Linked DNA regions of Arabidopsis thaliana. The protein of the gene in region 3 interacts with the protein of the main gene of each other region in a pairwise test. Each region holds a gene or a part of one and is shown on either strand. Other genes may lie near its edges. The genes, in order: AGL77, BLH3 and AT5G01160.

Region 1 (3,756 bases), about 15 Mb from region 3:
ATGCATGAATGCAAGCATGTATGAATGCATGAATGTATGAATGCATGAATGTATTAATGCATGGCGTGTATGTATATATGAATGTATGAATGCATGGCGTGTATGTATGTATGAATGTATGAATGCCGGCGTGTATACGAATAAGTGCCTGTAAGTATACACATTCTTCAATTGATTTGCGAATCCAGAATTCTCTGTTTTCTGAGTTCTAAGAAACGCCACATTCTAGGCTCTGGACTTTGCACCTGAAGAAGAAACGTGACTTAACATCATATTCAAAGACCAATATCAAAAGATCAAGGAGGAGAAAAAGATTGAATAGATCAAATATTTGAACAAAACCAAAGGCACTTTGTGTTTGTTAACATAACTAAGATTAGAGCCGCTTCCTTGGTTAACTATGATGAACCATCATCTTCTTCTTGTTCTCAGGCAAAACGATCTGTAAAAAATAGAAAAGTAAACCAAAAGAATCAGACCAAGAACCAAACCGGAAACACAGTGATGCAGAACAAAATCTATACCAGATACAGAGCATCACAACACCACTTGATCTTTGATTCCCATTCACAAAATCTAAACCTAATACAGATATCCCAATCTCGCGATCGTTTACAAAACCAAATCAAACGAATCACAAAACTATCGTAGATGGTATTGAGGAGGAAATAACAAAATTGATCGAGACAAATCAAACCCCAAAAGATTAACACACCGATGGAACAAATTAAGTAACATAAACAAAGAACGAGAGGTGTTGTAACAGTAATCGAATCAACTAATCAAGTAACAGAGAAACACAATTCATAAACAGATCATCGGAATTGAGAATTCATAATCATCGGAATTGCCTCAAAGAAACCCTAAATTCGAGAGTTTGATAACTAACCAGATAATCGATATACCTAGACGAAGTGAGAGATCGTCATTTCTGGATCATGATCGTCGCCGACAATTCGTCGGTGAACCAAGCAAGATCGCCGGAGAAAAAAAAACTTCTCCAGACATTTTGCAAAAAAAATTAAAATTTAGGGATTTCTAAAAAGTGAGAGATATCATAGAGAGATTTGTAGAGGTTTTTCTTCTTCTTCAAACGGTCTAACTCCAATTTTTTCCGCTATATAGAAAAATTCAAAATTTGAAAAATCAAGATTCCAAGACTAAGACATGTTTCGAAAAAAAGAAATTGAAATTCCAGCTGTGACACGTCATGATTATCATGTGCAACAAGTTTGAGCTTAACCGGGATTTTAACATTTTGGTTTAGTGTGAAGGCCTGAATGTTTTTGGTTAAAGCCTAACCACTGTGATCTCATGAACATATTTAGATTCGTTTGGTTTTGGTTTTAAAATGTGACATTAATTCTAAGTCCAACCCAATTAGATCGAAGCAATTATATGTTATCTTCCCAACCCAAACTACGTATTTTCAACTATACAATGAAAATTAAAAGTGACCAAATTAGGCGACACAGAAACGAACAGGTCCAATATATAATAGTTTGGGCCGCTGTAAAAATATACACGTTTGGGCCAAGCCTAGTAAAAAAAAACAAAAATTTGGCCTCTTAACTACCGATTCCAAAATTGAAATGTAGCGTTTTGATTATTCTTCTTTAAATTGTCAGGTTCTACGAAAACCCTAACCAGAGAAGCTTGCCAGCGGCTGAAGAGTTCCGACGAAAGCAGAGGAAGAAAAATATATCGGTTAACCGACCGAACCGAAACACTGGGTAACCAAACATAATTTACAAACCTTCCGATCGGTTTTCCTTTCCTAACCGAAGCAAAGCCCGGAACCAAAAATTTCGGTTCGGAGCGGTTCGGAATTATCGGTTCGAGTTTGTCTCGCAGGCCTACAAAAAAAACTCTATAAATATATGACATATCTAAGGGTTTCCTTAACCTAATTCATTAGCTTTTTCTCTTCACTCTGAACGTGAAAACAAACACAGAGAGTTTGTCTTCAAAATCAACAAGAAGATGACGACCATTCGATCTTCACCTTCTTCCTCTCGTTGTTCCAATTCGTCTTCCTCTTCTTCTTATTCACTCGCTTCCACAAGTTTGTCTAACAGACTTGAGACTATATTCAAGAAAGCTTCAGAGCTTTGCACTCTCTGTGATATCGAAGCCTGCGTCATCTATTACGGACCAGACGGAGAACTTAAAACATGGCCTAAGGAGCGAGAGAAAGTGCGAGACATTGCTCTGAGGTTTAATCAATTAAACGAAGCCTTGAGACACAAGAAAAGCGTTAATCTTCATGGGTTCCTGAACAAGAAGAAGAAGAACAAGGGTTTGAAGAATCCGAACAAGAAGAAGAAGACGAGTCTTAAGAACGTGAATGTTTTAAAGTATCCACTCGCTGATCATTACTCTCCCGACCAAGTTTCTCAATTGACTCAGTCCTTAGAACTCAATGTCTCTAAATTCCAAGAAAGGCTTCGATTTCTTGAGTCGCAGAAACAGAATGAGACAAAACCGGATCATCAGAGTTTAACATCAATATCTTCTCTGAACCAATCTTTGAACCCTAGCCAGTTCTCGCTGTTTATGTATAACCATGGATATAATACTCTGTCTCAGATCCCAGTCTCTGCATCAAATTTCAATCAGGATTATATCTCAGCGTTACTTGAACAATCTGAGTTGAAGAGTCAGATAATGAAGCAGGAGGTTTGTGGTTATGAGCAGAACATGTGCATGAGTAACCATGGAGATGCTACGCTCTCTCAAATCCCATTCTCTGCATCAAATTTCAATCAAGATTTTTCAGCCAACAACAACTTCCAACATTCTTTTGTCTCAAACACACAAGATTACTACTCTGTTCAAAAATCTGTGAATAACAACTATGGGTTGAAGAATCAGTTAATGAAGCACGATCTTTGTGGTTATGAGCACAACATGTGCATGAGTAACCATGGAGATGCTACCTTCTCTCAAATCCCACTCTCTGCATCAAATTTCAATCAAGATTTTTCAGTCTCAATACAAGAAGAATCTGGCTTGATGCAGCAGGAGCTTTGTGGTTATGATCAGAATCAGAACATGAGCATGGGTGACATCACAAACAACAATTTTCAAGTTACTTGCGCCTCAGTACTAGAATCTGTGAACAACTTTGGGTTGAATCAGTTGATGCACAAGGAGTTTTATGGTTGTCATCAAAACATGTCTATGGGTAACATCAATAACAACAGCTTTCAACATCCTTGGGTCTCAAACGCAGACCATACTCGGCGGTACAAGAATCTGTGAACAACTTTGGGTTGAATCAGTTAATGCATGCAGCATGAACTTTACGGTTACGGTTATGCAGACTTTTGTTAATTTCTTATGATTAATTTGATGTGTTGTTGTTGTTGTTGAAATGTATTCAGATCTACAGCTTGTTTACGGTTATTAGTTGGATAGTATTTAGCAGTACATGCACTTTCACTTTCCATAAAGGTCATTATTGTATCATGATTGATGCAGAGGATATCTACACCAGTATTCTTTCACTCTATAGTAGCTAGAAACAACAAGTACTACGTAGCTTATTAGTGTCTTTTAAAGTACATATATATAAATGTGATATGTTGGCTCACTTCACAATACCTCGCTTCTGTTCATTTCCCGTAAAATACTCTTCGATATAAGACATCTATCACCTACATGACTCCAAAAGAATCTCAAAACATCGTTATCACCAGCGTAAGAGGCACTGATAGATTTATAAAGTTTCAAGTTTACCATTAACCGTCGATT
Region 2 (3,756 bases), on a different chromosome or scaffold from region 3:
CTGTTACCATCTCGAAAGACGATGCTAAAGCTTCCATTTGATGATGGTATTGGTTATACCTTTTATCTACCTGCAAAAATGTTTTCAAAACTCAAAACTCCAAAGTCTCTCTCTCACTTTAAAGTATTCAAATTTGATTTAGTCTTACCTCATCCACCATTGTTAAAAGCTTGCTCTTCTTGCTCTGTAGCTCCTGACGTTCTGAAGGAGACAACTCCTGCGATTGAGATTTATCATCTTCTGTAATGTTATCACTAGACCCATTGTGAAAGTCTTGACCTTTATCATTCTTCATCTTCTTATTCCCCAATTTCAAATCTTTCCTTACACTAACAACTTCATCAAGCAATTGTTGTGTTGGTTTAAGGTAACGAGATCTCAGTACACTACTCACAAACCCTGATGTCTCGTAACGGTAATTGTTGTAGAATCCAACACCATTATTACCATTGTTGTTGTAAACAGAGGAAGGTAAAATTTGATCAGAGTGATGCTGATGAACACTCAAGCTCTTCCCATTCTCATCAGACATAGTAGAAGGATTAAGATTATTGTAACTCAATTGGTTCGAAAGATTCTGGTAATGATACTGAAACGGAGAAACAGAGACAGCTGACTGGATCTGATTACCAAGACTTAAAGAAAGTCCTCCACCGTGAAAGCTTAGATCGTTACTTGACACCGTTACGTTTCCGTTGACGGCTACGTCGCTTGTTGGTGGGATAAATACCATCTCGTTGTTTCGAACATCACCGGAAACAATCTCGGAGAAAGATGCAGCAGAGGAAGAAGAAGCTTGTTGTTGTTGTTGTTGTTGTTCGTTGAGGTAAATGGATTCTTGGTAAAGAGATTGCATGCCGACACTATTAGGGTAATACACAGCCATTGGATAATAAATCGAAAGTGTTTTGTTGTTTAAGTGAGTTTCATCCGATTGATGTTTTGTCTGAAAAAAGAGAAAGAGAGAGAGAGAGACGTGTGAGTTTGAAACTGAAACTGGATAAATAAAAGAACAATTCTTTAAAGAGGTTAAAACATCTTAATCTCTATATACGCCGCAATTACAGATGAATTCAAGAAATGAAAAAAATATGAAATACTCAATTTAGGTCAAGAAGATATCAAAACCCTAGGTAAAGTTTCCACTTCAATTCAGTGACGCAAACAAAAACAGAGGATGATGTTTGAAATCATGAAAGATATAAAGTTAATTTTTTTTAAGTTCTGATGATTTCATACTTTTGTAAGAATTTAACAGAGACGAAGATGATGATAAAATTCGAAAAAGGAAATCTTTTTGTAAAAAGAGAAACAGAGTACAACAAGTCAATCATATAGCTTTGAATCAAGAAGCTACTAATAAGAACAATCGAATTATTATAGTTAAAGAAATGAAACCTGAGAAAGAGCTAGATGATAAACTATACAAAAGAGAAAGAGAGATTGTGGATGTGGCTGAATCAGGGAACAGAGAGATAAAAAGGGAGAAGAAGAAGAACTTCGAACAGTCGATGACAAAAAGAGAGAGAAAGAAAGAGAAGACACCCAATCCCAAGAGACGATTTTTATTAAATTCCGATACTATTTTAAAACTTTATTTGGCATTCACTAACAAAGAACAGAACCAAACCATCTTATCATTGGAACCTCGACAACAAACCCAGATTTTTTAATTAATGTTTAATAAAATATCAGTGTATCACTAACCTATGGAGAAATTTGACAATCTCTATTCTCTACCAGTAATTCTTTTTTGTTTGTTTTTCTATTCCAACCGAAGCTTCTATATTAAAATTAATAATTTTTTGTTGGTTTTTTTTCTGTGCCAACCATTTAGAGAATAACACGCGTGAGCGGAAATTTTCATATTTTTTTTCCTTTTCTCTGATAGGATTATTGTTAGATAATGGAGAATATTTATACAAATGCGACTTTTTATATGCATTTATATTTCAAGTTATCTGATAAAACAAAAGAATATTATTGGAACCAGAAGGAATACTGTGCAGTGTTGTCATTGACTTGACTTGGTGCTTATATTCAAATAAATATAATTAAAAATAAAGTATGTTTTTTAAAATGAAGAAAAGAGTTGAGTTTTCGTATTCTATGTTTTTATAAAGTTTAATTAATAGCTTGGACATAAATTCAAGCAACCGTTGAAATTTTTTACTATTAAAATTTTCCACCAAAGCTTTGTTAGATTAAATTAACTCAAGCAATCTCAAATTAGTTGTGGTTGTGATGATAAAATCATGGGTTAGTCTGAACCAACAGATGCTTTTATTAATTTCTTTACATAATTGCAGATCCCTGGTTATAAGCGAACGAGAAACATGTGTTACGTGACATGATACTTCATAACTAATCTATGATGTTTTGATGTATAATTGTTAAATTATTATAACGACGGAACTCTCTAAAAAGATTGTGATCAAAATTAAAATTAAACATCTTTTGAGGTCTCCTACTGTTTATACGTTATATACTTGTTTCTTCGCGTAATACATTGGACACACATACTCTTATTAAGTGACGTGCAAAAGAGGAAACTAATTAACTCCATTTTTTCAATATCTTCCTATTATTTACATATTAAAAATAAAGATATAAGTAGAATTGTCAACAAATCAATATATTGAATATAAAGTAATTAAAATTACTAAAGTATCCCTAGGCCTAGAGAATTTTGATTTGCCAGAAATGTTGCTTTGAGGAAGAAGTGTTGTGTCTGCTCAATTGCTTAATTGAGGGATTAAAGGACCTTAACAACCAGTTGGTGACTACCCAATTTCCTTACTTGGAACGAAAAAATCCAATTAGTTGACTAACAAATAAACATATTTTCTTAAATAATCAAGTGATTCATTTGACCTACATGAAGAAAATGTATTTATACGCAAAACAATAAAATGAAAAGAAAAGTTATGATGGGTCGATTCCATGTCCCAAAGGATCTAAGGAGGTTGTGTAATAAATAATAGAAAAAGTAGAATTCGAAAGAAGATGATGAAAAATGAAATAAATAAGGTAGCTGTGTCGGACGCGAAGTTGGTGAAAGTGGCCAAAAACGAAAGACTTGGACGCCAATTTGTTTCGTAGAGACGTTCCTTAACGGAACGAAGCTAACGGCTTTGTGTCCATCTTAATAAATGTTATTCTTATTTCAATTTCTGTATATTTCGTTTATTTCTTTTATTCTTTAATGTTTTTTTTTGTTTTTGGTTGAGTTTCGGTTTTGTCATAGATTGGAACAGCCGACACAAACCTTTCAAGGAGAATCAATGTGTTACAACAAATTCTTTTTTTATGAAATTTTATATATTTATGAGTAGATTATTTGTTTGTTTTTAAATGTACAACTGATAAACCCTACACACAGCTGGTTGAATATGGGAGTATATACAGTGGGAAAGTTTGAAAGGATCAAATATTTTTAACTTTCTAAAATAGGTTAAATGAATGTGGTTTTCTAAAGCTATTTATGATGAGTATTCTTATGAATAATAATATTATACATATCGTGAGTATATAATTTGAAGAAGATGATGAATCGATGATGAGTGATGATGATAGTGCTAAATGAGGAAATGACGAGTAAGAAATCAACAGCTTTTGTTTGGACAAAAAGCTTTTTGTACACCTAGCTATATGGTATGACAGCTAATAATAATTAATATCCTTAAGATATAATTAATCGCAGTTGTTAATCATAAATAGTCGGACCGTTTAACCACATGAGTTTTTCCTATTTTC
Region 3 (3,756 bases):
ATCATCCTCCCAAAACAGTAAAGAAAAAGAGCTAAAAACCAAAATATCAATCTTAGTTCTTTCTTTATCACAGTGACACAGTGGGTGCAATCTACGATGGTTGTTCCTATAAAATGGTGTAAAACCTTTGGTTCAACCCAAATCAGTTTGGTTTTTCCGATGGAATTTTTGGCACGGTTTTGGCTCGGTTGAAATTGGGTTTACTCGAATTACATGTTAGACCAACAACAAACGACACAGTTTTTAGAAACAAAAGTACTTGAAACTTTCAAACGACGAGTTTAACATTGCACAAATTCAAACTAGACTACTCTTACTCCTGCCCAAAGCCATCACGGTTCTCTTGTGGCCACCCAAAACTTTGACCGTCTCTACCCCGGTTAACCTGCTGGGTCGTGTGAGGCGGTGCCATTCCGGGATTCCATGATGGAGGAGGATACGATCCTTGGAAATTCAGATTCGTCATTGGTGAAGGCGGGGGATACCCGAGCAATGAACTTTGTTCTGATCCGCCGCTCTCTGTTCTTGTCATCTCGTACTGAGCACCGTTAAAGAATTGTTGAGATGATCCACTCTCTGTTGTTGGATACGAAGGAAAACCAAACTGCTGTGGTAAACCCGGGTTTTGATTCATTGGAACGGGCAAGCTGGGCGGTTGCATAAGATTCATAGGCTGGGGGTAGTCTGGGAACCGGATTCCTGGTTTAGGACTAGCGGTTTCGAATCCAGGAGGGCGAGAGTTATCGCTATCTGGAGGGTAATTCTGGACTTGACTAAATCCAGACTGTGACTTTGCAAATGACGCCGACCTGTTTAGTTCACGGGATTGTTGCAGCTGGGATCTTAAAGGAGCTCGCAAGGTGGATTCTGAAGCTGAAGACTGCTGCATTGTGCTCTGAACATCTGACTGGTTACCATCTTCTTTCTCTGCATCGGCTTGTAATAGGCTTCCATGGAGGTCATGGACATGGGCTTCAAAGTCAAGTTTCTTCAGGAAAGACCTAAGACAATGAGGAGCTGCACAGATGAAGATCCCTTCCATCATCTTGATTGTTTGAATCTTCTGAATCCGCTCATCACATCTGTGCAGTAATCACACACACAAGAGACAACAAGATTTCAGTCTGATAATCGCTACGCCTAGTAAATCTTAAAATGTCTCTGTAGATTACTAAACAATCTAGAATATCTCTATCAAAGCTTCTAATGAAATTCGAAGCCTAGTTCAAACTATGATAATCCTGCGTCTCTGTAGATTACCAAACAATCTAAAGTATCTCTATCAAAGCTTCTAATGAAATTCGATGAGAGTTAAAGATGGTTACAGATAGCAGATGGAATCACTGCGAGCACATTCAAGGCAAAAGGCATGATCACAAGGAATCTGCAAAACCAAAACAAAACAAAAAAAGTTTCAATCACATATAGAAGAAGAGCCCCCTTAAAAAAACTCTTTAAGGCAAATCAATATAGCCATAAACCAATGAAGGAAGCGAAGTTTTTTACCAGACGACCATAGATTGCAATCGGAAAATCGCAACGAACGCAGAAGTGAACTCTCTCGCCTAGCTGACGGCGAGAACGACGACCGACGGGCTTGATTACGGTGGTGGGAGTCACGGAACCGATTCCTTTCGCAACAGGAAGATCGGCGAGGACGAGATGGTCGGGACAGGCTACAGTAACCGTCTCCGTCGGAGAAGGCCTCGCACCATTTCCAGTTTCCGTCGGGGAATCCCTCCGAAGACGAATTTGAAGCATTGTCGCTGTAAAAGTTACATGAACGGAACCCTAAGAAATACAAATCAAAAGAAAGAATAGGAATCAAAAGCTTCTCTAGTTACCAAGTTAAATCGGAGATTGAGATTTCAGATCTCTCTCTCTACTTCAGTTCTTCTCAAGAATCACGCCGGAGCCGAAAACGGCGAAGCAAATTTTGTTTTTGTGGGCAACGGAGGAGAATAGAAGCCTTCAAGTCTTCTGGCTGAGAAAGAGGGTTTCCATTAATTAACTTCAAGTCTTATTTTTTTCTGATCAACACTTCATATGTCTTCAACATTCCCAATTACTATATACCAACTGGATCTTATTATAAACTTTTGTATATGGATGCATTTTTTTTGGTAATGGTTGTATATTTCAGTCTTATCGTACTAGGAAATTCCAGATTTTAGGCTTGTTGCTTTATAAACTCAAAAAGATGTGCAAGTTTTTGCCTGCATTTAAAAAACCCTATTAAGATGAATTTCCATAAAACAATAATTTGATTAGTCTTACAAAGAAAGATAAGGCTTGGAAGAAAACATGAGGAATGTAATGTAGATTTTGCGGAATTCTAAAAACATAATCAACAATCGACTTAGAGTTCATTCTCACTAGCTTTCTATTTCTTCAAGTCTCTTCCTTCACTTTCTTTGAAACCGTGTCCCATAAATCAGTCTCCTCCTTCAGTTTCTTAGCAATCAAATTCCATAATGTCGTGCTCAAAGCAGAGGATGTCACCAAGGAAGCTCTCAACAAATCCAAAGCCTAATTCAAAATCAAGTGTCAGTCAAGTTCCTTTCAAGAATACAGGATCAAAAAGGGTATACAGAAACATACCTCTGCATTGCTGATACTAATTACTTGCACCTCTAGATCGTCTGCGTGACTCTGCAACTTCTTTAGTAAACAAACTGTGGAGCAGGAGTTCATAGATGTAATGGTCAGATCATCTAATACAGTACACTTTGTCGCTTTCTTCAAGAACCCCTGAGCAGACTTATCGCTGCCACGGGATTTGGGATCCTTCAAATCCACCCGAACGATTCTGTCTTTGCGGTAATAAGTAGTTCGATTACCGTTTGTAGTCAAACCATAGTTCATTTGCCTGTAATCGTAGAGCCTGTAACGGTAGTACACCGGAGGTTGTTGAGTGATAATACCAGGCAGTTGCATCTGGAAATTATAGAAAGACGGAAGTGCGCATGTGGAAGTTGACATTTGAGTCTCCTCATTTAAGTCCCTGAAGGTTCTACACATGTTTCCTATGCAACCTAAGGAGATACTGCTGCCAGAGATTTCCCATGCAGATTCAAGCGGGACAGCAATAAAAGAGAAAAGAAGCTCAACAAATTCCTCTCCGCATTCAACAAATAAAATCTTCATGTCCTGCTTCCTCACAAATGCTTTCAAAGTTACTACCTTTTCAGGTTCTGCTTCATCTTCTTTTTTCTCCAAACATGGACTTTGCGATTTGTAAAACTTCGTCGCACCTTGTGTAATCTTCTTGTTCAAGAAAATGTCCTTTAAGGGAGCATTTGAGGAGAATATACATCCCAGCAGAGTCAGTACCTAGTCCAAGATTCAGATATAGTAAGAGAGAACTAATAAAGTAATGATAACACAAACGCTTGAAGAATAAACTAACTAACATACCTCTTTCACACCAATATCAAGAAGCCTTTCACCGAGCTTACCAACATCAGCACAACCTAAGGATTTGAGCTTATTCAAGACAAGTTCAGTGGACTTGACTGACACTTCCAAGTCATCGGTTAAGACGAATGAACACCTACCGCTGACAAATACTCCATTATCATCATCTTGAAACCGGCCTAAATCTTGTTCCTCGTTTTCTAACTGAATCTCCTCGTTCATAAATTTTCCGCAACGACATTTAGAGGTGCTGAAATTACTGTACAAGCCGCAGTAACTTGAGCACTTAAAACACTTGATGTCCTCAGTAGGGTTTATGTTGAGCTTAAGCCTTTTGCA

What was found.
Region 1: the proteins of AT5G01160 (region 3) and AGL77 interact in a two-hybrid assay, tested with the Arabidopsis thaliana proteins (one large-scale study listed by BioGRID).
Region 2: the proteins of AT5G01160 (region 3) and BLH3 interact in a two-hybrid assay, tested with the Arabidopsis thaliana proteins (one large-scale study listed by BioGRID).

Annotation. Positions count from the first base shown.
Region 1 is NC_003076.8:15,512,533-15,516,288, reverse strand, and holds AGL77 (AGAMOUS-like 77), read left to right. Parts: upstream 1-1,983; coding exon 1,984-3,264; 3' UTR 3,265-3,346; downstream 3,347-3,756. Other genes in the region: AT5G38730 (Tetratricopeptide repeat (TPR)-like superfamily protein), read right to left, coding at 3,598-3,756.
Region 2 is NC_003070.9:28,301,005-28,304,760, forward strand, and holds the start of BLH3 (BEL1-like homeodomain 3), read right to left. Parts: upstream 1,725-3,756; 5' UTR 1,399-1,724; exon of another isoform or gene 947-1,398; 5' UTR 887-946; coding exon 149-886; intron 71-148; coding exon 1-70. UniProt on the Arabidopsis thaliana protein: Transcription factor that is responsive of the nuclear import of SHOOT MERISTEMLESS (STM).
Region 3 is NC_003076.8:52,285-56,040, reverse strand, and holds the start of AT5G01160 (RING/U-box superfamily protein), read right to left. Parts: upstream 2,186-3,756; 5' UTR 1,845-2,185; exon of another isoform or gene 1,767-1,844; 5' UTR 1,762-1,766; coding exon 1,507-1,761; intron 1,385-1,506; coding exon 1,326-1,384; intron 1,083-1,325; coding exon 314-1,082; 3' UTR 1-313. Other genes in the region: AT5G01150 (hypothetical protein (DUF674)), read right to left, coding at 2,392-2,529, 2,602-3,333, 3,418-3,756. UniProt on the Arabidopsis thaliana protein: Probable E3 ubiquitin-protein ligase which is a subunit of the N6-methyltransferase complex, a multiprotein complex that mediates N6-methyladenosine (m6A) methylation at the 5'-[AG]GAC-3' consensus sites of some mRNAs.